Stegostoma tigrinum: one gene and its partners. The protein of the gene in region 3 purifies or fractionates together with the protein of the main gene of each other region. This does not show direct contact. Links are inferred from orthologs where the notes say so. Each region holds a gene or a part of one and is shown on either strand. Other genes may lie near its edges. The genes, in order: snrpf, snrpd1, snrnp70 and nuclear cap-binding protein subunit 1.

The links.
Region 1: the proteins of snrnp70 (region 3) and snrpf purify together in Homo sapiens (affinity purification with mass spectrometry; 5 studies listed by BioGRID and IntAct, counting the BioPlex papers as one, with this or other methods). This does not show direct contact. The link is inferred for Stegostoma tigrinum from reciprocal best matches to the Homo sapiens genes SNRNP70 and SNRPF.
Region 2: the proteins of snrnp70 (region 3) and snrpd1 purify together in Homo sapiens (affinity purification with mass spectrometry; 6 studies listed by BioGRID and IntAct, counting the BioPlex papers as one, with this or other methods). This does not show direct contact. The link is inferred for Stegostoma tigrinum from reciprocal best matches to the Homo sapiens genes SNRNP70 and SNRPD1.
Region 4: the proteins of snrnp70 (region 3) and nuclear cap-binding protein subunit 1 purify together in Homo sapiens (affinity purification with mass spectrometry; 3 studies listed by BioGRID and IntAct, counting the BioPlex papers as one, with this or other methods). This does not show direct contact. The link is inferred for Stegostoma tigrinum from reciprocal best matches to the Homo sapiens genes SNRNP70 and NCBP1.

What each region holds. Positions count from the first base shown.
Region 1 is NC_081378.1:51,001,549-51,008,893, reverse strand, and holds the start of snrpf (small nuclear ribonucleoprotein F), read right to left. Parts: upstream 3,237-7,345; 5' UTR 3,015-3,236; coding exon 3,012-3,014; intron 1-3,011. UniProt on the Homo sapiens protein: Plays a role in pre-mRNA splicing as a core component of the spliceosomal U1, U2, U4 and U5 small nuclear ribonucleoproteins (snRNPs), the building blocks of the spliceosome.
Region 2 is NC_081355.1:7,631,865-7,640,007, forward strand, and holds the start of snrpd1 (small nuclear ribonucleoprotein Sm D1), read right to left. Parts: upstream 3,063-8,143; 5' UTR 2,942-3,062; coding exon 2,928-2,941; intron 1-2,927. Other genes in the region: phosphatidylinositol-3-phosphatase SAC1-like, read right to left, coding at 7,693-7,829. UniProt on the Homo sapiens protein: Plays a role in pre-mRNA splicing as a core component of the spliceosomal U1, U2, U4 and U5 small nuclear ribonucleoproteins (snRNPs), the building blocks of the spliceosome.
Region 3 is NC_081391.1:18,615,465-18,623,319, forward strand, and holds the start of snrnp70 (U1 small nuclear ribonucleoprotein 70 kDa), read right to left. Parts: upstream 3,122-7,855; 5' UTR 2,941-3,121; coding exon 2,794-2,940; intron 999-2,793; coding exon 936-998; intron 1-935. UniProt on the Homo sapiens protein: Component of the spliceosomal U1 snRNP, which is essential for recognition of the pre-mRNA 5' splice-site and the subsequent assembly of the spliceosome. SNRNP70 binds to the loop I region of U1-snRNA.
Region 4 is NC_081356.1:11,121,421-11,129,011, forward strand, and holds the start of nuclear cap-binding protein subunit 1, read left to right. Parts: upstream 1-4,302; 5' UTR 4,303-4,453; coding exon 4,454-4,487; intron 4,488-7,591. UniProt on the Homo sapiens protein: Component of the cap-binding complex (CBC), which binds cotranscriptionally to the 5'-cap of pre-mRNAs and is involved in various processes such as pre-mRNA splicing, translation regulation, nonsense-mediated mRNA decay, RNA-mediated gene silencing (RNAi) by microRNAs (miRNAs) and mRNA export.

The DNA of each region.
Region 1 (7,345 bases), on a different chromosome or scaffold from region 3:
AGGGGTGGTCGGGGTGGGGGGGGGGAAGAGGGGTGGTCGGGGTGGGGGGGGGGGAAGAGGGGTGGTCGGGGTGGGGGGGGGGGAAAGAGGGGTGGTCGGGGTGGGGGGGGGGGGGAAAGAGGGGTGGTCGGGGTGGGGAAAGAGGGGTGGTCGGGGTGGGGGGGGGGGAAAGAGGGGTGGTCGGGGTGGGGGGGGGGGAAAGAGGGGTGGTCGGGGTGGGGGGGGGAGAGGGGTGGTCGGGGTGGGGGGGGGGAGAGGGGTGGTCGGGGTGGGGGGAGAAGGGTGAGAGGGGTGGTCGGGGTGGGGGGAGAAGGGTGGTCGGGGTGGGGGGGGGAGAAGGGTGGTCGGGGTGGGGGGGGGGAGAGGGGTGGTCGGGGTGGGGGGGAGAGGGGTGGTCGGGGTGGGGGGGGGGAGAGGGGTGGTCGGGGTGGGGGGGGGGAGAGGGGTGGTCGGGGTGGGGGGGGGGAGAGGGGTGGTCGGGGGGGGGGAGAGGGGTGGTCGGGGGGGGGGGAGAGGGGTGGTCGGGGTGGGGGGAGAAGGGTGGTCGGGGTGGGGGGGGGGGAGAAGGGTGGTCGGGGTGGGGGGGGGGAGAAGGGTGGTCGGGGTGGGGGGGGGGGAGAAGGGTGGTCGGGGTGGGGGGGGGGGGGGAGAAGGGTGGTCGGGGTGGGGGGGGGGGGGGAGAAGGGTGGTCGGGGTGGGGGGGGGGGGTGGTCGGGGTGGGGGGGGGGGTGGTCGGGGTGGGGAGAGGGGTGGTCGGGGTGGGGAGAGGGGTGGTCGGGGTGGGGAGAGGGGTGGTCGGGGTGGGGAGAGGGGTGGTCGGGGTGGGGAGAGGGGTGGTCGGGGTGGGGGGAGAGGGGAGGTCGGGGTGGGGGGAGAGGGGTGGTCGGGGTGGGGGGAGAGGGGTGGTCGGGGTGGGGGGAGAGGGGTGGTCGGGGTGGGGGGAGAGGGGTGGTCGGGGTGGGGGGAGAGGGGAGGTCGGGGTGGGGGGAGAGGGGAGGTCGGGGTGGGGGGGAGAGGGGAGGTCGGGGTGGGGGGAGAGGGGTGGTCGGGGTGGGGGGGGGGAGAAGAGGGGTGGTCGGGGTGGGGGGGGGGGAGAAGGGTGGTCGGGGTGGGGAGAGGGGTGGTCGGGGTGGGGAGAGGGGTGGTCGGGGGGAAAGAGGGGTGGTCGGGGGGAAAGAGGGGGGTGTCGGGGGGGGGGAAAGAGGGGGGTGTCGGTGTGGGGGAAAGAGGGGGGTGTCGGGGGGGGGGGAAAGAGGGGGGTGTCGGGGGGGGGGGAAAGAGGGGGGTGTCGGGGGGGGGGGAAAGAGGGGGGTGTCGGGGGGGGGAAAGAGGGGGGTGTCGGGGGGGGGGAAAGAGGGGGGTGTCGGGGGGGGGGAAAGAGGGGGGTGTCGGGGGGGGGGGAAAGAGGGGGGTGTCGGGGGGGGGAAAGAGGGGGGTGTCGGGGGGGGGAAAGAGGGGGGTGTCGGGGGGGGGAAAGAGGGGGGTGTCGGGGTGGGGAAAGAGGGGGGTGTCGGGGTGGGGAAAGAGGGGGGTGTCGGGGGGGGGGAAAGAGGGGGGTGTCGGGGTGGGGAAAGAGGGGGGTGTCGGGGTGGGGAAAGAGGGGGGTGTCGGGGTGGGGAAAGAGGGGGGGGGGAAGAGGGGGGGGGAAGGGGGGGGGGAAGAGGGGGGGGGAAGAGGGGGGGGGGGAAGAGGGGGGGGGGGAAGAGGGGGGGGGAAGAAGAGGGGGGGGAAGAAGAGGGGGGGGAAGAAGAGGGGGGGGAAGAAGAGGGGGGGGAAGAAGAGGGGGGGGGAAGAAGAGGGGGGGGGGAAGAAGAGGGGGGGGGGAAGAAGAGGGGGGGGGAAGAAGAGGGGGGGGGGAAGAAGAGGGGGGGGGAAGAAGAGGGGGGGGGGAAGAAGAGGGGGGGGGGAGAAGAGGGGGGGGGGAGAAGAGGGGGGGGGGAGAAGAGGGGGGGGGGAGAAGAGGGGGGGGGGAGAAGAGGGGGGGGGAGAAGAGGGGGGGGGGAGAAGAGGGGGGGGGGAGAAGAGGGGGGGGGGAGAAGAGGGGGGGGGGAGAAGAGGGGGGGGGGAGAAGAGGGGGGGGGGAGAAGAGGGGGGGGAAGAAGGGGGGGGGGGAAGAAGAGGGGGGGGGAAGAAGAGGGGGGGGGGAAGAAGAGGGGGGGGGAAGAAGAGGGGGGGGGAAGAAGAGGGGGGGGGGAAGAAGAGGGGGGGGGGAAGAGGGGGGGGGGAAGAGGGGGGGGGAAGAGGGGGGGGGAAGAGGGGGGGGGAAGAGGGGGGGGGGGAAGAGGGGGGGGAAGAGGGGGGGGGGAAGGGGGGGGGGGGAAGGGGGGGGAAGGGGGGGGGGAAGGGGGGGGGAAGGGGGGGGGGGAAGGGGGGGGGGGGAAGGGGGGGGGAAGGGGGGGGGAAGAGGGGGGGGGGAAGGGGGGGGGGGGAAGGGGGGGGGGGGAAGAGGGGGGGGGGAAGAGGGGGGGGGGGAAGAGGGGGGGGGGGAAGAGGGGGGGGGGAAGAGGGGGGGGGAAGGGGGGGGGGGAAGAGGGGGGGGGAAGAGGGGGGTGTCGGGGGGGAAGGGGAAGAGGGGGGGAGGGGGAAGAGGGGGGGAGGGGGAAGAGGGGGGGAGGGGGAAGAGGGGGGGTGGGGGAAGAGGGGGGGTGGGGGAAGAGGGGGGGTGGGGGAAGAGGGGGGGTGGGGGAAGAGGGGGGGTGGGGGAAGAGGGGGGGTGGGGGAAGAGGGGGGGTGGGGGTGGGGGTGGGGGTGGGGGTGGGGGTGGGGGGAGGTCGGGGAAACAGACCGCACCCCCACCCCCACCCGAACACACCTTTCCGATGAGGGAGGGAAGTTACAGATCAATACCCACGCACCACCCTCCCCCCCCCCCCGGCCCCCGGGACGGTTTCGCGATGCGGGCTCGGGGGGAGGGTTTAACTTCAGTGCCGGTGCAGCCTCACGGACCAGGCCGCAAGCGCTCCCAGCCTCCGCCACCCCGGGCTGTGCGTGTACGCGGCAGGTTCCCTCACCATGCCGGCGCCTGTGGGACAGTCGGAAGGAAGTGGGATGGTCTGAACGGGACGGCTCGGCTCGGACACGGACACGGAATGACGGCTGCTCCGGAACGGGACGAACTTTGTGTCAGAGACCGACACACGCGGGGAGGAGCGCCAAAGGCTGGGAGCAGGGCCTGCTGGGAACCGTAACCCTTCACCTCTCACCCTCCCGCCGCCATATTGGGTGGCGGTTACCACGGAGACCGACAGCTCGGCGGCGAAAGGCCGTAAGCGAACCTTCAGAGTTGTGCAGCTGAGCCCCGTGGAGTAATGGCCAAGGATCTTTTACAGCAGGTACCACAGAGACATTTGACACGATTAATAACAACAACAGGTCTGGGGTGGGAGCCAGGTTCTGGTGCGTCTTGACAGTCAGTATTGGTGTTTGCAGTAAAATCTCCAGGAGGACGGCACAGACAGAGATGAAAGGGTGAGCCCTGTTCAGGGGCGAGACGAAGCCAATGGGCAGCGGTCAGGGGTGGGTTTGGGGGTCGGGTGGCCAGATTTTCAAAAGCCTGAGTGAACCAAGGATCGTTGAATCAGAGAACAGTGGAGGGAGACCATTCAGCCCATCATGCCTGCGTTGGCTCCCTGAGCATCATGACTTGTCTCCTGAGATGCTGCTTGGCCTGCTGTGTTCATCCAGCTTCACACTTTGTTACCATGACTTGTCTCCTGCCCGTTCTTTCGATTTTAATAATGTCCTCTTTCATTGCCTCAGTCGAACCTGCCTCTCGCGTACTTGCTGATAGTGTATTTCCAGAACCAAACTACTTGCTGTGCGAAAAGTTTTTATTTCTTACATCACACTTGCCTCTTTTGCAAAGCACTTCAAATCTCCCAGAGAGAAGAGTCTGTTAAATTAAGAAATCAATAATACTTGGAAATGAACAGACTGATCTCTCCATGTTGATGTAAAAAAGATGAGTACGTCTAGTATGTGACTGGTGTGTTTCAAACCTTTTACAGAACAGTTTCTTCCAATCAACTCATTGGAAGGTCATGCAAGATTCAGGCACCGTGATGATCAACATGTTGGGGGTGAACAGTGCCTGGTGTTGAAAGTGAGAGGACATGTGATGACATCCCCCCCCCCCGCCCCAATATCTCCAACCAGAGCTGTGTTTTGTTTTAAGCAGGCTGTTTCGTTATGTTGTGACACAACCCCATGACCTTCAAACCTTGAGGTGGGACTTGAATACAGATCTTCTAGACCAGGGGTGGGGACATCACTGTATCAGACACTTTGGACATCCAAACAGTTTGCAACACCTTTCATTAGATATTTTATAGGCTATTACCAGCAGAAGAGACATTGGTGTCAAGAAGCTCATGACAACTGTCTTGGAGATGCCAAGAGGGAAGTGGTACCGGGAGGGATCAGATATAGGTCCAATGCATGCAATGCCACGTGATGAGTGCATTCAGAAAAGAAGGCCTAAATCTGACTCACGGTTTCTTCCCGCCAGGCCCAGTTTGTGTTTAACAAAAAAGGAATTGGTGAAAGCATGGACATTTGAACTATTTTTAGGAAATTATCAGGATACCAGGTAATGTTTAAACTCACAATTTCCCTGCCACACTAGAATATTTGGCCACCCTAGTTGGATGCTGGAATGGGCAGTGTCTTGCCATCACATGAACAGCACAGGGAAGACATTGGAGTGAAGGAATACAAATAGAAACACAGGTGGTCACCAAAATTGCCAAGTGACAGACAGTAGAATCAAGAATAGTGTGCGAGATTGAAGAATTCTAGATCTTTTACTAGGAAAGAACAGTATAGTGTCAGCCTTCTCACTTATAAGATGATAGTTTGGTGAACCATTTGTGTTCAGCCTGTCTCTGGGCATTGGATTCTGCTTCAGCAAAACTAAAATATCCTTTCCTGTGTGAACCTCGGGCTGCACTGGCAACTGTCATAGTAATGCTGCAGTAAGGTGTCTGTGCACTCAGGGATACACACTCAGCTCATGAACTCAAATCAAACTTTTGTCCTTTGCCCTCTCAGCCAGCACTACGAGGCTTATATTACTGCTTTCTTGCCATGCCATTTAGTGAAAAAACAAACCCAGGAACTTGACGTAGTTGTCAGCAGTCCTCAGTCAAGTCAAATGGGTTAGCCTTCGCTCAGGAGGTCCTGGCACAGTAAGTCAAGGGCAGCTTCCGATACCAGGGCTTGGTATCGGAAGCTGCCCTTGACTTACTGGCAACAAGCTGAGATGAAGCTAATCTGTTCTCAACTTTGGTGTCATACTTGATACAAAAATGACCTTCCCATATTTATACCATCACTAAGACCATTTATTACATTTAGCAATGACCAACTTTGTCCCTTTCAGCTCTTCTGCTGCTGAAACCCTATGCATGCCTTTATTACCTCAAGACCTGACTATTCCAGTGCACTCATTGCTTGCCTCTGATATTCTTCCCTTTGATAATTTGCATTGATCACTGCTGCCCATGTCCTAACTTGCACAAAATCCCATTTACTCATCACTCCAGTAATCTCTGGTCTACATCAGCTGCGGGTTGACTAAAGACTTTTGATTTTCAATTCTTGTTCTTTTCAAATACATCTCTGTAATGTCATCAGATTTACAACTCACTGTGTTACCACTGAGTTTAACACTTCACCTTGGAAGGCTGTGCCTTCAGGTGCCTTGGCCCCAAACTTTGGAAATCTCTCCTTATATCTCTCTGCCTCACTTACTTCCTTTAAGAACTTCCTTGAAACCTCCCTCTTAGATGAGGTTTTTGATCATTTGCCTTAATACCTTGCACTTTAGTGTCATATTTTGTTTCGTAGTACTTCCATGAAACACCTTCGTATATTTCATTGGATTAAATGTTTTACTGGAATACAAATTGTTGTAACATTTCAATGTTTACCTTGAAGGTATAAACACAGACAAGTACAATAGCATTTTGGATCCATTTTCAACATTTTCTAGGCATTGTCTATTGAAACGTAGAACAAAGAGAAGAGCTGCTGGAAGTGAGCTGTACCCATTCACCAAGAATTATATTTTAGGGATAAACCTCTCCTTAGTTTTGGCCATCTATTGCTGCAATAAGCTTTACAAGGTTGGGGGGTGAATCAAGGAAGCTTTTCAAAGAACAAGTATGTTCTCCACAGACAGCAAGCTTGCCAACCTGAAAACAATCCAGTTCTTCCCAAAGTTTGTTTTTTGTCCTTTAGTCAATCCTCAATCCATGTCAGTGCGTTATCCACAACCCATAGTGATCTATTTTGTTCACTAAGGTCTTGTTGGAACCTTATTGAATGCCTTTTGATAATGCAAATATACCATATCTGCTAATTGCCCCTTTTTTATTCTGTTGTTTACATCTCTAAAGTACACCAACAGGTTTGCCAAATATGTTTTACTTTTCATAAAACCATGCTGACTCTATCAAATTCTATCATTATGTTCTCTGTGCCCAGTCATCATATCCTTTATTATAGATTCTAACATTTTCTTTATTACTGATATCAGCCCAACAGGTCTGTAATAACTAGCAGGGTTACATTTGTTATTTTCCAATCTGCAGGAACCATTCCAGAATCGATAGATGTTTGAAAGATGACCACTGATGCACCCATTATCTCTACAGCCACCTCTTTCAACACTTTATCACCTTTCTGTACCACTAATTTCTCCACTATTATTTTCTTAGTGATCCTAATTTCTTTCAATTCCTTATAATCCCTTGGTTCTCTAGAAGTTTCGAGAGGTTCTTTTTGTCTCCCTCCATTCCTGTGCCTCTCTTCCCCATGTCATCACCCCTCCATACATACCTTCTGCCATTCTTCCTCCCTTCACCATGTCATCTTGGCTCTCCCCTGCACCATTTCTCCCACCACCACCATACCAATGAGGAGTAGAAGAGACTACACATCCATCAAGCATCAACCTTCTTACTGATTTTCAGTTTGGGTTCCTCCATGGCCATTCAGCTCCAAACCTCTTTACAGTATGGCGCTGTTCCAAGCATGGACCAAAGAGCCAAATTCTTGATGTCAAGGGCAATCTCTCCTCTCTGGAGTTCAACTCCCTTGTCTATATTTGAACCCGGGCTGTAATGAGATCGAGAGCTAAATTGCCCTACCAGAACCTGAATTTAAACATTAGTGAGAAGGTTATTCCTAAGTATCACCTGATAGCCCCATCAATGACCCATTCCAATATGCTGATGATCAAGAGTAAACTGAAAGGATGGTAACTGACTGGGTTGGAATTGTCTTGCTTTTTGTTAGCAGGATGTACCTAGACAATTTTCTGCATTGCTGTGTAGAAGCTAGT
Region 2 (8,143 bases), on a different chromosome or scaffold from region 3:
CCAGCCTATTATTCCTTACTGCTTATCAATTTCAAAATGTACCATTTACAACGATGGTATTCGAACCCACATCCTCAGAACGTCAGCTTGAGGTTCTGGATTACTAGTCCAGTGATATTTCCATTATTCCACCACCCCGTCCAATGAATTTAAAGATCCTTGCCGTCTCTTGCGTCATTATGGCAATTCAACTTTCCTTGTATCGGATGATTAAAATGCAAGAAATTAAAATTCAAATTCTACCACTTGTATGCAAAATAGAATTCAACAGATCTGCTAATTTGTGGACTTGCACATTACTTGGGTGGTGGGTCGGGGGGGTGAATATTCTTTATTCCTCCATGTCAATGTCAACCAGTTAAAGATCTAAATTTATGTAGGTTCTTTGTTTCTGCTGCTGGTGCACATCAGCACATTAACCCCCATATCAGCGCAGATCACAAAATTCATTACTTACAACGTATGGATAAAGAGAGAAGGAACACCACATCACAATAACATCAAGACTGAAGATTTAGAATCTGAGAACCAAAACTACATCAACCCAGTACAATACACTGCAGTTCCTTGTTCCGTACTAGAGAAACAACCTGAGGAATGAGAGGCAGGTTTTAGTAAAGCCTTTGAAAAGGTTCCATACTGTAGACTAATTAGTAAAGTTTGATCACATGGGATTCAGGGTGAACTTGTCAAACGGATGCAAGGTTGGCTTAACTGCATAGGCAGAGTATGATGGTGGAAGGTTGTTTCTTGGACTGGAGGCCTGTGACCAGTGCTTCACAAGGATTGGTCCTGGGTCCATTTTTGTCTGTCATTTATATGAATGATTTAGATGAGAATGTAGAAAACATGGTTAGTAAGTTTGTGGATGACACCAAGATTGGTGGTATAGTGGACAGGGAAGGAGGTTATCTAAGGTTACAAAGATGATCAGTTGGGTCAACGGGCTGAAGAGTGGCAGATGGAGTTTAATTTGGAAAAACATGAGGCACTGCAGTCTGATAAAAGAAACAAATGCAAAGACTTATATAATTCAAAGTAGGACCTTGGACAGTGTTGTAGAACAGAAACACCTAGGGATTCAGGTACATAATTCTTTGAAGTTTGCATCACAAATAGATACAGTGGTTAAGAAGGCATCTAACAAGCTTGTCTTCATTGCTCAAGTCTTTGAGAATGAATTTGTGATGTTACACTGAGATTGCAGAGGACATTGGTGAGGTCGCTTCTGGAATACTGTGAACAGTTCTGGTTTCCCTGTTATGAGAAGGATATTATTAACCTGGAGAAACTTCAGAAGAGATTTACCAGGATATTGCTAGAAATGGAGAGCTTGAATTATAAGGAGAGGTTGATAGGCTAGGATATTTTCCACCGGAAAATAAGAGATTAAGAGGTGACCTTACAGAGGTTCATAAAATAATGAAGGGTATAACTAACGTGAATGACATGTGTCTTTTCGCTGGGTGAGAGATTTCAAGGCTAGGGGCACATTTTTAAGGCGATGGGAGAGTGATTTAAAAAAGACAGTGGGAGTGATGGATGTGAGTACAGAAGCAACATTTAAAAGACATTTAGATAAGCACATGAATAAGAAATGTTTGGAGGGATATGGGCCAAGCACAGGCAGGCGGGACTAGTTTAGTTTGGGATTCTGGTCAGAATAGACAGGTTGGGCCGAAGGGTCTGTTTCTGTAATGTATAACTCTAAGACAGGGGTCCGGGACAGAATCAGCATTGGCAGACTTCACAATCCTTTCAAAATCACAATTCATCCAGGAGTTGTAGCCAACCAGACACAGACAGTGAAGAATGTGTGATGGGCAGTGCTTGCTGACCATCCATTTGGCACCACTGAAGTTAGGGAGGCAGCGTTGTCACGGTGACTACTGTATGCTCGGAAGTCGAAACAGGCATCTCTGGCTGACCACTCGCCCTGTCACGGGCATCGTCAGGAAGGGCAGGTGCAAGACTGGGCGCATGTGTGGAGGAAAAGGCCAACAGTCTCACTGAGCTAACAAAGTGTGGGGCTGGATGAACACAGCAGGCCAAGCAGCATCTTAGGAGCACAAATGCTCTCGTCTGCACCTATCTTCTCCTCTATCCATCTTCAGTCTGCCTCCCCTTCTCTCCCTATTTATTCCAGAACCCTCTCCCCACCACCCTCTCTGATGAAGGGTCTAGGCCCGAAACATCAGCTTTTGTGCTCCTAAGATGCTGCTTGGCCTGCTGTGTTCATCCAGCCCCACACTTTGTTATCTCAGATTCTCCAGCATCTGCAGTTCCCATTATCTCTGTCCTCACTGAGCAACTGTCCAACTGTGGGTGAGTGAGACCACAGACAATTCTGGCTAACCACGAGTGTTGTCTGAGAGGAAAGAGGGTAGAATGGTTATTGTGTGGGAGACACTGAACCCTTTGGATGTACAGCAATGGGAATGGGGAAGGGAAGTGGGGGGGTGGGGAAGTGATGCACTCTCAAATCAAACAGTGGGACTTTGTCAAATCAGAGAGATTAGTTTAAGAATGAAAGCGCTGTCCATTTTTAAATGCTTTTTAAACTGGATTACAGACAAAGGGAGAGCTGAGTGAGTCTGATCCATGATCAAGGTGCTCAATCAGAACAGCAGCAGCTCCTTCCACACTGTAAATCCTAGGAGAGGGCAGAGACTGTAGCCTCACCCACCACCTCTCCAGGATCCTAGGCCTCGAAGCCCCGGGCTGGCCCCGTGCCTGCGGCCAGATCTCCCGCAGCCTCACCCCGGCCGGTGCAGCCTGACTAGGCCCCAGGCCTGAGCTGGGCCGCGACTTCTCCATCATCTCCTTCGCACCGAGTCTCTCCCATTCCGTTCCCCTCCCCATACCCTCCGTTTCGGTAGGTATAGGCCCAGGTCCACCCATCCCCGGCCTCCGATGCCTCCTCTTACCGGACCAACTTCATGATGGAGGCAGATTGTTCCCGGGGCCGCGGAATGGAGGCGCCACAACCGGCCCTGCAATAAGCATGCGCGGAAGGCCGGCAGCCGGCTCCTACTACTGAGCGTGCGCAGTGCGCCGGCAGCCGTTTCCTCTAATTGGGCGCCGAGTCGGCCGTTTCCAATTGAGCATGCGCGGAATGCTGGACGATGTGACGGTGCATGCGCAGAAAGCCAGATAATGAAGAACGGCGTTTGCAGGTGCTCCCTACTGCCCCCTTTAATAAAATATGGAAATAACTCCCCGCCCAGAAAAATCAGACCAGACTTTACAGCACAGAGTCTCCCTCCTTCACTCGCTGGAATTCAGAAGAATGGGGGCATTTCATAGAAACACAAAATCCTGCTGGTACTGGACAGGCTAGATGCAGGATGATTATTCCTGACGTTGGGGAGGAGTTCAGAATCAGGGTTCACAGTCTAAGAGTAAGGGGTAAGCCAGTCAGGAATGAGATGAGGAAGAATTTCTTCACTCAAAGTTGTGAACGTGTGTAATTCTCTCCCACAGGAAGCTGTCGGGGTCAGTTCATTAGATATATTCACGAGGGAGGTGGACGTGGCCCTTGCAGTTAAAGGGATCAAGGGGTATGGAGAGAAAGCCAGAGTGGGATACTGAGATGGCGTGGTCATATTGAATAGCAGTGCAGGCTCAAAGGGGCAAATAGAAAACAATCAATCACAGGAGTAGAGGAGATAATGGGAACTGCAGATGCTGGAGAATCCAAGATAATAAAGTGCAAAGCTGGATGAACACAGCAGGCAGAGATGCTGCTTAGCCTGCTGTGTTCATCCAGCTTCACACTTTATAATCACAGGAGTAGGCTATGTTTCTATAAGCAGTGTAAAGTATTTTTATTTTAAATAGCTTCCATTCTTTGAAAACAAAATCAAGAGTAGTCATTTTCAGCCTTTCTTTACTTTTGACATCTTTGGATAAGAAGCTTTGGTCCTGAGCATCATAGACCTTCCACTGAATGTGAACTTGTCATTTCCAATGCCCTTTTGCAACAGTGCAGTTTTCAAATATTCCCTTTCAAACAATTTTCTCAATTCCAATATAGTCAAAACAGCACCAGATTGAGGTCTACAAAATCATAAGGTATTGATTCGGTGGACAGCAAGAAGCTTTTTTCCCCCCCAAAGTGGGGGACTCAATTACTAGGGGTCATGAGTTCAAAGTGAGAGGAGGAAAGTTTAAGGGAGATATGCGTGGAAAGTTCTTTACACAGAGGGTGGTGGGTGCCTGGAACACGTTGCCAGCGGAGGTGGTAGACACAGACATGATAAGTGTCTTTTAAGATGTATCTGGATAGGTAGATGGAGGGGCAGAGAGCAAAGGGATACAGAGCCTTAGAAAACAGATGACAGGTTTAGACAGAGGATCGCAATCGGCGCAGGCTGGGAGGGCCGAATGTGCTGTAATTTCCTTTCTTCTTTGTACTTGCACCGAGTCATGTTTGCTGATACATGCTTTACATTTGGCCTGCAAGATGGGCAACAAAAAAAAGAGATCAACAAGGTTTCCTTGGCTAGCACTTTCCAAGACTTTGGCAGACCAGAGCTCGTCCACCAAGTCTGTTTTATTCTTTTCATGCTTTCTTTTCCCTCTTTCTATTTATCTCCCACCCCGGAGAGCTGGCGAGTTGTCACAGTGTTCGCTCGAGCGCCACCAGCATCAGGGTGAACCCAGCACAGACTTGTGTTTTTTTTTGCTCTCTTTCCCCGCTTTAGAAAGTCTGTAATGCTGAACTTTAACTTTATTTCTTTTTTATTCTAACTTGTATCTCGGCACTTTTGCATCTAAGATGAAAATGGCGACTTTGTACACTTTTCACTGTAATGTATCCCTCTAGTAGAGTTCATTTGACAATAGAACTTGATTCCCAATTCCAAGTGGGCCAACAAGATGTGCTGCAAAAAAAAAGCCAAAGATCCCCAGAGACCACCTTCCAAACTCTCATCCAATAGAAAGACAAGGGCAAAAACAAAAAGTTGCTGGAAAAGCTCAGCAGGTCTGGCAGCATCTGTGAAGGAGCAAACAGAGTTAACGTTTCGGATCCATTGACCCTTCGCTCTGTTTTCTCCTTCACAGATGCTGCCAGACCTGCTGAGTTTTTTCAAAATCTTTGTTTTTGTTCCTGATTTACAGCATCCGCAGTTCTTTTGGTTTTTAGAAGGACAAGGGCAACTGATACATGGGAACAACTTCACCTGCAACTTCAATTCCAAGCCACACAGTTTCAAGCCAAAACATTCTCTATCAACTCAAAGACTTTCTTTCAGAAGTTTCCTATGTAATGACAAAACTTATTACATTTTACTCTCATTTCTCTTTGTGACATGAGTGTAGTATACAAGTGGGGGACTTGACCGGGCAGATACGGATGAACATTCCCTCTTGTGGGAGAATCTAGAACTGGGGTCATAGGTTAAAAATAAGGGGTTTCCCCATTTAAAACAGAAATTGAGATTTTCTTTCCCACAAGGGATTGTGAAGCTTTGGAATTTTCTTCCTGTACAGGCAGTGAAAGCAGTGTGCCACCATGTTGGTATGGACTCGATGGGTCAAATGGGCTGCTTCCACACTGTAGTGATTCAGTGAAAAAACTGGTGTAACAATAGTGTGGGTTCTTAATCTGAAATGTTCCCTGGGAAGCTATGTAGATACACCTAACCTTTTAGGAGGCTATGCTCTGTTTCATTCACAGTACATGGGATAAGACATCACATTCTGCCTAATGTTGGACAGTAATTTAAAATGCAGCCCATCAAAAGTACTTCACCACAGCAGCTAGCACAGTGCTGATCAGGAAAACTGAGAAGTGCAGCTCATTACAGAAGTTATACTCTGCTTCAAGTGAGAGCAATTCATACAGGAATTTAAACCACATAGTTGTAGAGTCAACAGCGGAATGCAGGTGGCAGATCCCCCAGGTTGCAGCAACTCATTAGTAACACAAAATGAAGTATTTCAGATTTCCAGCACCTGCTGGAAGAACTGAAAGATAAGTGAGAAAAACAGAAATATGAGCTATTTTTCTCTCTCCACAGATGTTGCTGAACTTCTCCATAAATTATTTTTTACAATATAGTAATGTTGTTTCAGTTCAATGAATTAGGACTTCTGACTGAGGCTCTTCGACTCAAAATGCTAAATCTATTGCTGTCCTGTCAGATGCTGCCAAAACAGCATTTAGCTGGCTATTCTGAAATTAAGATTTTTAAAATATACAGGACATAGAATGACAGATTTTAAAGAAAGAACTGCAAATAAACAAGAGAACTGAACATTACACCAAGTCTCTTTACTGTCCAAATGTAGCACGCTGAATTCAAGTTAATATTATGAAGAAATAAACAATAAAAATCTTTATTTGTATATCATTTTATTTATTACTCCAAAAGAGGAGGAACATAATACAGAATAGGGCAATGGAATGGATATAGTTGGAAAACTGACAACAGTTTCACTTGTATAAATAGAAGCTGCTCCCAGCCCAGTCCCGTTTGTAAATACCTGAACTAATCTCTTATGACAGCTACTGTAGTTCCAATTCTGAAAGACAATTCTTGATCTCAATCTGCAAAATACACTGATTGAATTGCCCTCTGTATCAGTGATTGCGTGACAATTTAAAGGCATTTTGCAAATTCATTGCTCTGCTCTAGTTTTAATCCCAATTTGTATGTCTCTAATAATGAAACAGACGGTAGCATTCATCCCCATTTGGACAATTTAAAGTGATATTTCAAGGTATTAAAAAATATGAATGGATAAACTAGGCACTATTCAGGGGAATATAGGGTGAATTAGAGTACATTGTTTCCCAAAAGCAACAAAAGCCAGAAAACAATTCCACTGAGTATTTTAACAGTTTGATAACACCCAAGTATAATACTTCAAATGGAAGAGCTGCACAAGCAAATGTAAAAATTAGAAAAAGAACAGGACTTCAAGTATATCATTACACTGTCATTAAATGAAAATAATGCACAACTCAGGAAAATCAAAATATACAGTTAATTCTGTAACATAATACAAATTCCAGGTTTGTCTAAAACTCGCTGTACAGTTTTGCATGTACATCAAAGCTCCCTTACCCCAGGAGTTATTAGGATGCAGACAGATGTCAAAGCGGTTTCAGGTTTAAACACCGGACTGAAAGGACTGAGGGCATGCAGCAAGTTGATTTCCAAACTTCTCTACAAAACTTTGAACTTAACAGCTTAAAATCTGGAAATAATAACTCATTCCACAGATATGTTACTGCTCTGTTACTATTTCATGATATCTATATATAATTATATATACACACGCAGACAAGCTGACTGGAATAGTAATAGGCTTGCTGGATTTGAACCATTACCGTATGTGAAAAGCCCCCACCCCTGCCCTCCCCATCCCAGAGATTGTTTGTACATTTGTTGTTGGTCATCAAATAGGAAGATCACATGAGCAGGAGATGTTTCTAATCCTTTTTATTTCACTAGTGTTGTTCCAAAAATCATCCAAAATTACCAAGGAAGAGAAATGTTTGTTAAAGCTAAGGCTGAATGATCCAACTCCAACTGCAGATCACAACCATTAGTTTCACTGTTAGAAATTGATTGTTTTAAAAAGACAACAGCACAGTGTCTGGATGTGGAAAGCAGGTCAGAAGATCCTCCACATTTGCACAGAATCTTGGTTGCCAAGCTGCTTTCCACAGGTACAAATTCAGTCCATCTTTTCTTTCTGAACCAGCTTTGGTGCATCAACGAACTCCTTGCCATTGAAGAGAATGATGGCAGCAGTCCCAAAGCTCGCACTCCCCCAGAACAGCACATAGGCCAAAGTCTCGGTCCAAGTGTCACCTATTATACATCCACAGATAAGTTCAAACTATAAAAGGATGGTCATTATAGAATTTATAGTACAGAAGGAGGCCGTTTGTCCATTGTGTCTGGATCAGCACTTGAAAGAGTTACCTAGTTTGTCTCATTCTCTACCCCTATATATTAACATAAATCCAGCCCTCTTTTTTGAAACCTCCTACGGCATCCACCTCCACCACTCTCCCTAGCGGTACATTCCGAATCCTAACAACTCTCTTGGTAGAGAAGTTTCTCCTCACCTCACTCCTAGTTCTCTTGCTGACAAATCTTGAAATTGTTACCCCCCTAGTTAC
Region 3 (7,855 bases):
TCAAGGGCCGTCATTGTCACCTCTGGAATGCAGTTCTTTTCTCCATGTTTGAACCAAGGCTGTAATGAAATCAGGAGCTGAGTGGCCCTGACAGAACCCAAACTGGACATCACTGAGCAGGTGCTGCTTCATAGTACTGTTGATAACACTTTCCATCACTTTATTGATATCTGAGAGTAGACCGGTGGGACGGTAATCAGCCAGGTTGCCTTGGTGGGATTCAAACCCGGGTCCCCCAGAACATTAGCTGGGTTTCTGGATCAATAGTCTAGTAATAATATCACTAGGCCATCACCTCCCCAGATGTTTTTCAGGATGGACTCTGAAAGGTTGAATGCCTGTGACAAAGTGATTTAGGGCCAGTTTAAAGGGAAGAGGTCTCCAACTTACAATAAAGATGAGAATCTTTTCTCCTCCTGAAGCGTCGCAAGTCAGTGGAACTCTTTTCCTCAGAACGGTAGATGAGGAGTCATTGAATACTTTTTAAAGAGAGATTCTTGCCTACCAAGGGAAGTCACTGAATATTTCAGCAGGCAAAAAAAGTGTTGTTGAGGGAAATAACTGGTGGAAAAGGCATAAAAAGCTGAATGCCTACTTTCTAACAATTTAGGTGGTTTCATTGGTAGAAACAAGTAACAGGAGGCAGAAGTCTATAGAGACTACTGCTGATAAGCAGATGTGTACACAATTCTTAGGAACATAATCAGGCTTGATGAAGACCCTGTAATAAAATCAAATGGACTGAATACACTTACAGGTCACGCAAGCACCCACAGAAATGATGGCCAGATCAACAAACAGCTGAAAGGAATGTGGGTCCACAAACCTACAGAAAATAGTCGCGGAGACCTTCAAATAATTCCAGGTATTTTCTAATGTCTAGCCTTTCCTAACACATTTAACCCTAGGATGTACATTTGGCCTAAATTTCTTACCTTTCTTTCCATTCGCTCCTCCCGTGTCTCAGCTCTTGTTGGTGGCGGGGCATCTCTAGGATCCTACATAGCAGAAAAAGAAGCTGTGATCAAAAATTCAGAAGTTACACTTGCTATATTCCATTCTAGCAATTCCAAGTGGCTCCTTGATCATCACTTTTCCTGGATAGAGGCCAGTTATGCTTGAAAATGTGGTATGAATGCACTGAAAAACGGCTGTTCAGATGCAAGCATAAGCTTCTTTCAGGTGCAACCTTCATGTGGAATTGAATTATGGGTATAAAAGTATTCAAACAATATTAAATATATCAACAGTATGAAAGATTCTTCCCATAAGAGATGCCGACAGACCTTATTTCAAATTCCAAGCACCTGCAGGATTTTGATTTTGATCAAGATGTCAATATCTGGTTTCTTGGTAACAAGGAATTTAGGTTTCAGAACATAATGAATGAACATGTGCAACTGTAATAATGAGACAGGAACAGGACGATACCAGACATAAATCCGAAAGTGAAAGAACATAACAGAATGGAAAAGCTAACAGAAAATTCAAGAAAACCAGATTCTTAACAGACTGACTCTGAAGAATAAGAATGAACAGTGAAAAGGAAGAAATGGGAGTATATACGGATTAAAGGGCTAAATCAAGGTTGAGCGTTAAGTTTCTCTGAAAAACAGTCACAAGCATAAACTCCATAAATACAACCGTTGCGCCTCCAAACCCCACAACATGATTGTACAACATGTACTGTGGTCCACTTCATCTTCTGCCCATCCACCAGGTCTTAACCCATATCCCAAAACTATGTCACCGTCAATACCAATTCTCAATACACGCCCCTAACTGGACACAAGCCAAACTTCTCATTCTCCCAGAACTTGCCTTGTTCCAAAAGGCCCCACTCACCTCAATTACACTTGACCAGTCATTAACATCCTTATCCACTGGCCCAAACAGACCTTTAATACCCTTCTCCTCACACTACCACAAGACCCCTCCTTTACATATCTGGCTACCTTCTCCACTACTGTTCCCTCCTACACAATATCTTTCATATCAACACAGCTCTTGCTCTTTACTCACACTTCCCTACTCTACATAGCTCATTCCCCATTTTGAATCATCTGCTCAATTCCTTTCCTCCTCCCTCAGTCCTTATTAGTTCCCTATCATGAATTCCCACCTTCCCCATCCCCTCTGACAATTCTCACCAGCCCATTTCCCCCATCTCACATTCTCCATCCACCCCTCTTCCCCACCAGCCTCCAAACACCTCCTCACCATTCCCCCCACCCAATACCCTATTCTTGCACCCACCCCCAGATCAATCCCCTACCCTCCACTCCCCCCTCTGCAGTTTTCCCCACATGACCACTCCTTAACCAATTTAGCCTCCCAATTACCCCACTGTCTTTCCTTTCCCCCAACTCCACATCTGTCTGTTACTCCTTTCTCCCCCCCTTCACCCACTGCTCAACTGTATCAACCACCCGTTTTAGTTGCCTTTCCTGATTACCACTTCTCTTTCTCTCCACCCTGTTACGACTCTTTATCCCAACTCTCCCCATACGGGCTCCCCCTCCCTTCAGTTCCCACCCTCCCCCAGCACCCTCTCCTCTGCCAGTCCCCATGCAGTCACACCCCTCCCCACCATTCCCCTTGCCCAGTCAGCACCCTCCCCCGTCACCCCAAGATCCCTCCTCTCTCCAGTCACTCCATCACTACCAGCTCCCCAGTTCCCCTTCCCCAGTAACTCTATCAGCACCACTCTCCAGGCCCCCCCACCCCCCCGGGCCCTTTAACCCCTGTCCGTCACCCCAGGTTTATTCCCTCCCCCACAGCTGCGGCGCTGACCTCGAACTCCCGGACGAAGCCGGCGATGCCTGAGTACGGCTGGTTGTGGTGTTTCTCATGCGGCAGCTTCTCCAGCGGCGGCAGGTACGGCACCGGGTCCCGCGGCGCGAACAGCGCCAGCAGGTTCGGCGGCAGGAACTGAGTCATGGCGGGAGCCGGGATCAAAACCCCGCTGTCCCCTCTCTCTCCCCCTCTGGGTTACTCGGCCTGTGAGGTTGAGGAGGGAGGGGGGAATAACTCGCTAACTTGTTACTCTAACTAGCTTAAACAACGCCACCAGGCCTCACGCGCGCCGACAGCGAGGAAAACACAAAATGGCCGCCGTGCCTCTTCACATTCCCTCCGTATCATTGGGCGTCCCCTGCTTTGGAAAATGCATCGTAAAATACAATTCCAACCATTGATAATAATGCTACTCAATGTGATTTTATACCTTAGTCCATTTCTCTCTCAATAAGACTTTACCTTACTCTGTTTTTCTCCATTCTCCCTTAGGCACTATTTACATGGTGGCAGAACACCACCTACCCTTTATTTCAAAATAACGATCACTCCAGGGCGGTGGGCGGGATCACGCGCCGAGGAGGACCCGCCTCTACCCTCCCTAGAATGGCTGCTGTTTCGCTAGGCCCCACCCCTCTTCCGCACGCCGATTGGCTAGGACATGGGTGGACAGTGCTCCCGCCCATATGCCACACCTCTATTGGTACAAAGGCCTGTCATCTTTACTATACCATGTCAATTGGGTGGATAGATTGAGTGACAGCCATTTTCCCCACCCCACCCTTTGCCCGGCTCTCCTGCAGTTAAAGGGACAGTATCCCCTCAATGTCAGTGCTGGTGAAGGGTCTCCTAACATCTGGAATGATCGGTTATATTACTCTGCATGACCTGTGCAAGATGTTTGTAGCATTTAAATTTTTATATTAGGACAGTTTTGTTATGTGGTTTTGAACTCAAACGTGAGTTGTGGCTCATGAGGGACTGAGAAGGCAAGGTCATAAACTGTCTTCAGACTTGGGCTTGCATATAAACACTTTATTGCATGTAAAGGCTAAATACTCTACTAGAGAGGGGGAAAAACAGGCTTGAATCTGTTTAAGATAATAAAGTGTGAAGCTGGATGAACACAGCAGGCCAAGCAGCATCTCAGGAGCACAAAAGCTGATGTTTCGGGCCTAGACCCTTCATAGAGCCAGCCGAAAAACACCGGCTTCGATCCCTAAACATCGGGACGTAGATGACCAGCTTACACAAGCTGAGGAGCTCTTGAGCGCAAGGAACGACCCGGACACGCTTGCCCTCGGAATTGGACTAGTGGAAAGTATTACCGACCTACTAATGAATAGCAGGAAAAGACAGAACAAAAACAAGAGGCCTCAAAAAGATCAGGCCAAGAAAGACAAAAAGCCCGGTAGCAATACCGGAGCCAGAAAACGGTGGGCAGCACGAAAAGCGCTGTTTAGAGCAACACAGCGGCTTTACAAAACCAACCGGCGTCAACTAGCTCGTGAGATCATGGGGGCGCCAACCTCATCCGCTTGTCCTCTCTCAAAAGAGGATTTGGAGACATGTTTCCGTGAGAAACTGTCTGCACCAAACAAGAAATCGAACATAAATAAGTATGCCCCATACACTGGCAAAGTCGATGACGGGTCCTTGATGAAACCCATAGAGGTAGAGGAAGTTGAAGCGGCCATCAAGGGGATAGACGAGAACAGTGCCGCTGGACCAGATGGCCTGAAACTGCAAGACATAAGAAGACTCCATGAGCAGGAGGAAACTCATCTACCCCGCCTCTTCTCCTTATGGCTAAAGTCAAGCATGATCCCCGATTCACTAAAAAAGAGTCGAATGGTCCTGATTCCTAAGTGCGAGGATAAGGAATGCTTGAAAAGCATTGATAACTGGCGACCAATAACCATCGGTCCAATACTGCTCCGGCTGTTCACGAAAATAATGGCAAAACGCCCGAGTGAAACAGTCGAAATAAACCCCAGGCAAAAAGGGTTTCTAGCAGCCACTCCTGGATGCAATGAAAACATTGTTGTCCTCGAAAACATCATCAAGGGAGCAAAGCACAATCGTAAGGACCTCGCAGTTGTCTTTGTCGATCTAGCGAAAGCGTTCGACTCGGTTGGGCACAAACTATTGATCGAATCTCTGCAAAGGATGAAACTACCCAAAACCTTTAAGTCTCATTGATGAAGGGTCTAGGCCCGAAACGTCAGCTTTTGTGCTCCTGAGATGCTGCTTGGCCTGCTGTGTTCATCCAGCTTCACACTTTATTATCTTGGATTCTCCAGCATCTGCAGTTCCCATTATCTTTGAATCTGTTTAATGCCATTGAGATTGATAGGACAGAAAAAGACCCTTTAGCCCTTTGCATCTGCACAAGTCAAAAGCCCCACCTAAACTCTTCTAATCCCATTTTCCAGTACTTGGCCTGTCGTCTTGTAATACCAAAGCATATAAGTGCACAGCTAAATGCTTTTTAAATGTTAACAAAAGTTTCTGCCTGTATTATCCTTACAGGTAGTGAATTCCAGGTTTCCAACATCTTCTGAACGAGAAAGATTTTCCCTCACATCCCCTCCAAACTTCTTGCCTCTTATCTTAAATCCAAGCCTCCTGGTCATTGCTCCCTTCAAGGGGGAAAAATTCTGCCTATCTTCCCTACCTATGCTCCTCATTTTATGCCCAGGGAGAAAACTCTTGTGAATTCTAGATAATAAGGTGTAGAGCTGGGATGAACACAGCAGGCCAAGCAGCATCTCAGGAGCACAAAAGCTGATGTTTTGGGCCTAGACCCTTACGAAACGTCAGCTTTTGTGCTTCTGAGATGCTGCTTGGCCTGCTGTGTTCATCCAGCTTCACACTTTATTCTCTTGGATTCTCCAGCATCTGCAGTTCCCATTATCTCTTGTGAATTCTACTGTTCGAATGCTAGTTGGCCTACTTCAAGCATTTATTTGCATGTCTCTAACATTCACACAGCTAGACCAGGGCTGTACTTGTGTTTTCCCTGTCTCTCTTTAATTCTGATCTTGTTTATGCCTAGTGAAGAGCAGCACTGCAACATCACCTAGTGTCCCTTGTACAACATGCACCTCTGCCCATGGTTGCTGTGGCTCCCTATGCATTAGGAAGATCAAACTCAGACTGGGGCATATCACTTCATTGAGCATAACAAAATTTGGAAATAAAACCTAAAATACTGAAGTGTTATAGTTCACTCAAAGTTGCTGGGAGCAGAAGTAGGCTATTCAGCCAATTGAGTCTGTTCCTTCCAGTAAGATCACATGTTCTGATAATATCAAGTCCTCTTTCCTGACCTTTCCACATGAAGTTTGATTCCCTTACCAATTAAATGTGTCCACCTCAACCTTGAAGATACTGAACAACCTATCCTCTATAGTCTTCTGCGATAAGGGGTTCCACAGAAGAAACTATCTTTCAAGAGAAGAAATTATTCCTCACCTCTGTCTCAAATCCTAGACTTTCCCACAAGGGCGGGGGGCAGAAAACAAACTTGCAGCATCTATCCTGTCTGCTCCTCCATGGAGCTTGTATGTTTCAATATGATCATTTCTCATTTTTCTAAACTCCAATAAAGTACAGTACCTCTCCTCAGAAAAGGGTCCTTCCATACTCAGGATCAATCTAGTGTTTATGCATTAGCAATTTTTTTAAGCCAATTAGTCTTTCTCTCCTTTGTGGACTTTGTAAATACAAAGTTAAGCCTCATCCTGTCCCGTTTAAGAAACCACCCAGCATGAGTTTAACAAAATTCTAACTGGTACAACTGCACATTTCTTCAGGCTTTGTAACATGTGTTAGTACATGTGAATTCCTACTGGCACATGTCTCCAATATCACAATGACCTTTAGTATGGCTGTTCTGCAAGGTTTCCATTGAATCCATTAATATAGTGTATGGAAGATTTGGAGCTATGACCTATGAATATCTGATTGAAACATTGCATCCCATTTTGCACATTAAACCTTATTCTGTTATCATAATTATCATCATCTCCATTAATAATCTCCACATCCTCATTTGAAATAAAAACATCCTATGTAAACAAGTCACACCATAACTTGCTGAAAACAAAAAATGCTGCAAATTGCAGCAGCTCAGGCAGCATCCACGGAGGGAAGGTAACCTAAAGTTGAGTCTAGATGAATCTTCAGAGTTCTTCTGACACTGTAATTTCCCTCTTCCTCTAGCGATGGCACCAACTGCTTCACCTTCACATCTGTTTAGTTTGGTTGTTTGCGAAGTTCCTGTGATCCAACTAACTCCACGTCTCAACTTACTGTGCTCTTTGCTATATAATTATAAAACCAAAATACTATAGTATACACAAATATAAAGACTGCATTTATGACTTAAAAATGCAATCTCAGGGGCACCTGTCTAATTATCCTCTCACCTGTAACGATATGTATTTTAAGCAACCTCTTTAGACAGGCTATATTACACATCTGGGACAGGTGGGACTTTCAACTTGGACATTTTTGGCTCAAAAGATAAGGACACTACCGCTGCACCACAAGACCACTAACCTCCGACTGTATTGTAAAACAGTCTTATCCTCATCTTTCAATTCCTCCTGTAGCCCTGCAATGCTCCAAAATCTCTGCACCCCTCCAACGCATCTCTAACTTTGTTCCATTAGTAGCAGTATGCCTTCATCTACGTAGCTCTGGAACTCCCTTCCTAAATCTCTCCACCACACTACTTCTGACAAACTTTTCTGCTTAAAATTTCTCCTCCTATCTTTAATCGGTACTAGATGATTCAATGCCATATTTCATCTAATCATGTTCCTATATCGTGCCTCAAGACATATCACTATACTAAAAAAAGGTGCTACGTTACTGTTTTTTCCACCAGAAAGTCTGCATTTGGTCTAAACTAACCCTGTGCACTGCCTCAGAAAAGACCAGTTGTTCTGAACTATGCTTAGCAAAGTTAATTGGCAAAAAGTGGAGGAAGAGCAAAAATAAAAATTCCACCTTCAACGGTCTGTGGAGCTTTTTTTATTAAAAGTAAAAA
Region 4 (7,591 bases), on a different chromosome or scaffold from region 3:
GTTAAGATCCTAATCAAAGACAAACCCCAGTCCGAGCGATTAAAACAAAACTACCTATTTATCAAGATTAAGGGGTCATGTTAGGTTCGTTTCACAGAGACCCTCACGGACTTGATGCAAGAGCAAGACACTGACCTGGTTACAAAAACACAATCCTTTATTATTAAGCAAGTACAAGCTGCGGAGGATCCCTATACGCAACGTATCACAGAGTGCTGAATATCGTGAGCGATTGTCCCCGCTTTTATACCCTTGAAATTGGCGGATACATAAAACAATGACTACGTCTGAAACATCATGAGTATGTGGTCATGGCGCTACAACGAGAACATGACACAGCTTTGATCGTCACAAGGTATATGATAACGACAGGATGCGATTTTAAGTGGTGACAACTGCCTGGCTTGACCAAAGGTCACTGACCTGGCCATTTTAGGAGAAACAAAGGTAGGCCGCAGTGTGGGTAGAGCCATAAAGATTGCAGAGCTTAATGCTTTTAGTGTTTACAAATGTTTCACACTCCAGCCTATTCAGGCAGGAAGGTGAGACAGTGTTCACATACCCCTGTATGAAGAAATAAGGAGCATAAAAATTCATGGGATGTTAATCCATTAACATCTCACTTGGTTGCTGATTGGACAGCTAGCTTGCACGGCCCAGTGACACCAACAGCTTGGGTTTCAATTCCCAAACTGAAGTTAGCATAAAGGTCCTTCTTTTCAACTTTATCCAACCTGGAACTCAAAAGGACCAAAGCGAAAATTCACACAATTAGATGAACAATTCAGCCTATCGAGCAAGTTCTGCCATTCAATGTGATCACACTGATCTTATCACAGCCTCAACTCTGCTTTCCTGTCTGCTCCCCATAATTCTTCAACACATTACTAATTAAAAATCTGCCTATTCCATCCTCAAATTTACTTAATGTCCCGTTATCCACTGTACTCTGGGGTAGCAATTTCCAGATTTGCAATCCTTTGAGAGAAGTAATTTCACACCTGTTGTAAATCTGCAACCCCTTATCCGAAAGCATTGACTTCTCATTTCAGAATACCCCACAAGATACGTCCTCCCTACATCTAATTTGAGGTATATAAGTCGCTAAAGAAAATTGACAAACAGATCTTCTCTCATTCTTCTAAATGCAAGACAGAATAGACCTAAACTCCTCAACCTCTCAAGACAAATCCCTCATCTCTGGAATCAATCTAGTGAAACTTCTCCCAACTGTGTCCAGTGAATTATATCATTCCTCAAGTAAGGGAACCAAAACTGTATGCAATACTCTGGGTCAGAATCACTAATGCTTTGTACAGTTGCAGCAACACTTCCCTACTTTTACAGCTATTCCTTTAGCATTAAATGACAAAATTCCATCTGCCTCCCTTATTACCTGATAAAGCTGCATATTAACTTTCTATCAGTCACGCACAAGGACACCCAGATCCCACTGTGCCAAATCAGTGAGTTTTTTTTTCCATTTTGATAACAAATTGCTTTTCTATTCTTCCAAACAAAAGGGAGAACCTTACACTTATCCATGTTAAATGCCATCTACCTAATTTTGGCTCATTCACCTAATCTATCCACATCCATTTGTAAGTTTCTGTTATTTCTTCACTGTAATTACTTGCTGATCTACATTAGTGTCATCTGACAATTTGGCTATTGCACCTTTATCCCTGCATCTGTCACTAATATACATTGTAAATAGCTGGGGCCCAGGGGCCAAACTCTATGGCACCCCATTTGTTAATCTTGCCAGCCAGAAAAAGACCAATTTATCCTGACTCTCTACTTTCTGTTGGTTAGCCAATCCTCTACTGAAGTTAATAAATTACCCCAACCCCACATGATCATACATTGTATATTAACTTTTTGTGCAATACCTAATTAATGCCTTCTGGAAGTCCAAATATACAATTACAGGTTTCCCCATTATCCACTTATTTGTTAAAATTCTTCAAAGATGTAACAAGCTGAGTTAAACATAATCTACCCTTCATAAAACCATGCTGAGTCAGATTTTCTTCAAAACAGTTTTAACATAAGCAATTCATTTAAACAGAGTGAGATCACCATCTAATATCAATTTATCACCATTGTTGTGGGAAGGAATCTGATTAAAACTCAGAAGGCCCAAACTTTACAGAAAACTTTAAAGCAACTGGAAGAAACAGACTTAATTTTCTCTGTAAAGGATAGGTTTAGCTTGGGTAAAAATGAATGTCAATATGCTAAATATAGTCTGCCAGTCCATTAAGTTATTTATACTTTTATCTGGATATTTCATCTTCATAAGTTAAATCTTGTTTAAAATGGTTACTACAGCAATTGGGTGTAAATCCATCTACAGCGGTGCATTTTTAATATTCATTCAGATTCCATGTGAGTGAGGAAAGCAGAGCGCATATTTATTTATATTCTTGCTCATGTTGAAATGTGGAAAGCCAGAATTGGTTGTACCTAGATTTATCAATTATACCATAAAGACTGGGCAATTAATACTCATTTAATTTAACAATTCTGAGGGGCACTATTTAAACTTGGCAATGCTGATAAACAAATGTGTAACTTCAATGCTTAAAGGCTCTCAAGTGTAATACATAGAAAGCTTCCAGTACAGGGAATTGCCAACCCAATTTGAGAAATGATTTTAAAGCATCATGAAGATCTAATTAATCTTTTCCAAATTATGAGGATAATTTTAAGTGATACAAAGTATTTTTAAAAAAATAAATAATTAACCGACATTACTGTTGTTTCAAATTTAAAAACATAGGCTTTTTCAAACAACAAAGCCTGAAAGTGCAAAGGTATAACTAAAGAGTTGAATGCTTTCATAATTCAGTATAACTTACAAAAAACTCTTACGAAGTTCTTGCCACTTTAGTTCATCAAAATTTGTGTGACTTGCATCAGGCAATCACTTGGATTATGTCAAATTCTTTTTCAGTTCCACTGTGCTGTGGTGATATAACATAGTGATCTGAAGAATCAGATACTCATCAACTTGTTATTTTGGGCAAACATCTTCAGTGTGTTGTAAAAGCTCAGGCATGTGTTTATTGGCCACATGCTTGGGAATATCCTCCTCTTTGTCAAACTGCTGTCCACAACACTCCCAATGAACACTTGGCCTATCAAATTCTCATGTTGCAGAGCTGCCAACTTTAGGTATTTGTCTTGATTTGATAAAGAAAGCGAATGCCTATAAAATGGGTATATATGCAAATTAAAGTACAATACAGGAAGGAAAACTATAGGGGATACATTTGATAGCTTATCTTAAATACTTAGCAGAAAGCAACATGCAACTCTTTGTTGATTATTGCAGATTGTGGATCATTTGGCCCACAAATCTGGTACACAATACAGTCAGTATTCCTCACCAATAGCAAGTTGCCATTTTAATTATATGTCTCAAAAATCATGAATTTTTGAAATAATTTGCTTTCAGTTCTTTTTATGCTCAGGATCAAGCATGCATCATTGAATATTACTAGATCAGTGCAAATTACTTTTATGCAACATTATAAATATCAGGGTTCAAGCAGAATTCTGCATGATAGAAAACATTCTAGAAAAGGGTTACAACTAAAAAGACCAAAGGCAAAACGTCAGTTTTTGCAAGTGAAACAGCTTCATGTTTTCACCAGGATATAAAACAATGCAAGTGATACTTGTCACTATGGTCTAATCCTTATCATCAAGTGTTGCTGCTATTTGTACCCGAGGTGTCCCCGGCCCATAAAACAATCCAATAGCTCATAGCTGCAAAATGTACTTGGTCTGCCAAATGACAAAATTTGTCTTGACCCATGCAGGTTCACATCCTATCCTTGACTCAACCCCTCAGACCCTCCCCTCCAAGCTCGCAGCCTGCTCCGGATCCCCACTCCACTCCACTGCGGGCTCCCACTATCTCCACTTGACCCTCCCTTCAAGCTCAGTCCCTGTCCCTGTCCCTGTCCCTGACCGACCCCCCCCGCGGGCTCTCACCCTGTCCCTGACCGCCCTCCGGCGCTCGAGGCACGGCCTCAGGACGCTGGGTGCGCGCCCCGCTGCTCTCCAGCTCGTGCCGCCTCTCAACGTCCGGCCGGGGGAGCGAGCCTGGACCGGGGGGGGGGGCAGCCCGAGCTCGGGGCTCCAGGGACCGAGGGAGACGAGCGGCCCGCCACCTCCAGCCGGAACCACTTGGCCAGCACGCACGCGAGGATTTACCCCGGAAGTGCATGTGCAGTGTGCCCGCCATAATCGGGGGGAGGGGGGGAGGGGGCCGGGGGGTGTGTGGTGGTGCTGGTGGAAGCTTTTCCGTGGAAGTTGTGAACGACCCGAGAAAGAGGGGGGTGGGGGAGGAGTGCTTGGTACCACCGGTGGACCGGCTGCACGTTCTCAGCGAGCAACTATCTTGTTCCCGGGCTGCTGCTAGCATCGGCCCCGGGCAGAGATGTCGAGAAGGCGGCACAGTGACGACAATGACGGTGGGTAGAAACGGCGCCGGTGCACGATGCGAGCGCCGCACTTGGTCCGTCACCGTCCCGAGCGCCTCCCGGTTCGTTATTCCCTCCTTTGGCTCCTGAGAGCGGCCTTTTTCACCCGCGAGCCGTGTCCAGTGCCAGCTGTCGTCATCGCTAGATATCCCTTTATTCTGCGGCTCTCCCTCCTCAGCTTCCCTCAGTCCCCGTGGCCCCGGCCTCAGCCCCAGGCCGATCCCTCAGCCCCCGTGGCCCCGGCCTCAGCCCCAGGCCGATCCTTCAGTCCCCGTGGCCCCAGCCTCAGCCCCTGGCCGATCCCTCAGCCCCCGTGGCCCGGGCCTCAGCCCCTGGCCGATCCTTCAGCCCCCGTGGCCCGGGCCTCAGCCCCTGGCCGATCCTTCAGCCCCCGTGGCCCGGGCCTCAGCCCCTGGCCGATCCTTCAGCCCCCGTGGCCCGGGCCTCAGCCCCTGGCCGATCCTTCAGCCCCCGTGGCCCGGGCCTCAGCCTCTGGCCGATCCTTCAGCCCCCGTGGCCCGGGCCTCAGCCTCTGGCCGATCCCTCAGTCCCCGTGGCCCCGGCCCCGGCCCCGGCCCCTGGCCGATCCCTCAGTCCCCGCGGCCCCGGGACTGACCCCGCGGCCCCGGCATCGACCCCGGGACTGACCCCGCGGCCCCGGCATCGGCCCCGGGACTGACCCCGCGGCCCCGGGACTGACCCCGCGGCCCCGGCATCGGCCCCGGGACTGACCCCGCGGCCCCGGGACTGACCCCGCGGCCCCGGCACCGGCCCCGGGACTGGCCCCACGGTGCCCGCGGCCCCGGCACCGGCCCCGGGACTGGCCCCACGGTGCCCGCGGCCCCGGCACCGGCCCCGGGACTGGCCCCACGGTGCCCGCGGCCCCGGCACCGGCCCCGGGACTGGCCCCACGGTGCCCGCGGCCCCGGCACCGGCCCCGGGACTGGCCCCACGGTGCCCGCGGCCCCGGGACTGGCCCCACGGTGGCCGCGGCCCCGGCATCGGCCCCGGGACTGACCCCACGGCCCCGGGACTGACCCCGCGGCCCCGGGACTGACCCCGCGGCCCCGGCATCGGCCCCGGGACTGACCCCGCGGCCCCGGGACTGACCCCGCGGCCCCGGCATCGGCCCCGGGACTGGCCCCACGGTGCCCGCGGCACCGGCCCCGGGACTGGCCCCACGGTGCCCGCGGCCCCGGCACCGGCCCCGGGACTGGCCCCACGGTGCCCGCGGCCCCGGCACCGGCCCCGGGACTGGCCCCACGGTGCCCGCGGCCCCGGCACCGGCCCCGGGACTGGCCCCACGGTGCCCGCGGCCCCGGCACCGGCCCCGGGACTGGCCCCACGGTGGCCGCGGCCCCGGCACCGGCCCCGGGACTGGCCCCACGGTGCCCGCGGCCCCGGGACTGACCCCACGGTCCCCGCGGCCCCGGCACCGGCCCCGGGCCTGGCCCCACGGTCCCCGCGGCCCCGGCACCGGCCCCGGGCCTGGCCCCACGGTGCCCGCGGCCCCGGCACCGGCCCCGGGCCTGGCCCCACGGTGCCCGCGGCCCCGGGCCTGGCCCCACGGTGCCCGCGGCCCCGGGCCTGGCCCCACGGTGCCCGCGGCCCCGGGCCTGGCCCCACGGTGCCCGCGGCCCCGGGCCTGGCCCCACGGTGCCCGCGGCCCCGGGCCTGGCCCCACGGTGCCCGCGGCCCCGGGCCTGGCCCCACGGTGCCCGCGGCCCCGGGCCTGGCCCCACGGTGCCCGCGGCCCCGGGCCTGGCCCCACGGTGCCCGCGGCCCCGGGCCTGGCCCCACGGTGCCCGCGGCCCCGGGCCTGGCCCCACGGTGCCCGCGGCCCCGGGCCTGGCCCCACGGTGCCCGCGGCCCCGGGCCTGGCCCCACGGTGCCCGCGGCCCCGGGACTGGCCCCACGGTGCCCGCGGCCCCGGGACTGGCCCCACGGTGCCCGCGGCCCCGGGTCTGGCCCCACGGTGCCCGCGGCCCCGGGACTGGCCCCACGGTGCCCGCGGTCCCTGCACCGGCCCCGGGACTGGCCCCACGGTGCCCGCGGTCCCTGCACCGGCCCCGGGACCGGCCCCACGGTGCCCGCGGCCCCGGGACCGACCCCACGGTGCCCGCGGCCCCGGGACCGACCCCACGGTGCCCGCGGCCCCGGGACCGACCCCACGGTGCCCGCGGCCCCGGGACCGACCCCACGGTGCCCGCGGCCCCGGGACCGACCCCACGGTGCCCGCGGCCCCGGGACCGACCCCACGGTGCCCGCGGCCCCGGGACCGACCCCACGGTGCCCGCGGCCCCGGGACCGACCCCACGGTCCCCGCGGCCCCGGCACCGGCCCCACGGTCCCCGCGGCCCCGGCACTGACCCCGGCACTGATCCCACAGTCCCCGCGGCCCCGGTATCGACGCCAGGCTGGCCCCACCCCCACTATAGTCCTAGTCTCAACGCCGGGCTGAACCCACAATCCCTGTGGTCTCGGTATCAATGCCACACTGATCCTGCAGTCCCAAACACCTGGTCTGAACCCCAGGACTGATCCCACAGTCCCTGCGGTCCCGGTGTCAATCCCAGAATTGGCCCCACCATCCCTGCGGTCCCGGTATCAATCCCAGAATTGGTCCCACCGACCCTGCGGTCCCGGTATCAATCCCAGAATTGGTCCCACCAACCCTGCTGTCCCGGTATCAATCCCAGAACTGATGCCAATGGCTCTATACAAAAAAACTGCTGATGCCGGAAATCTGGAACAGAAATTGCTGGAACTCCGCAGGTTTGACAGCTTCTGTGGCGAGAGAAACAGAGTTAATGTTTTGGGTCCAGATACAATTTTAATGCAATAAGGAGGATTGATGAAGATAGCACAGTGAATGTTGTCCACATGGATTTTATTGACGATTTTAACACGGTCCCACATGTAATTTAAAAATGCATGGCATCAAAGCTAAAGTAGCAAGTTGTACCCAAAATTGTCTCTGAGGCAGGGAGCGGGAGGTTAATTTTGATAGGTACCTTTGTAGCAGGAAGGCTGTTCACATGTTATTTCACTGGGTTCTATTTTGAGTCGCTGGATAGTTGTGGTATACACCAAAG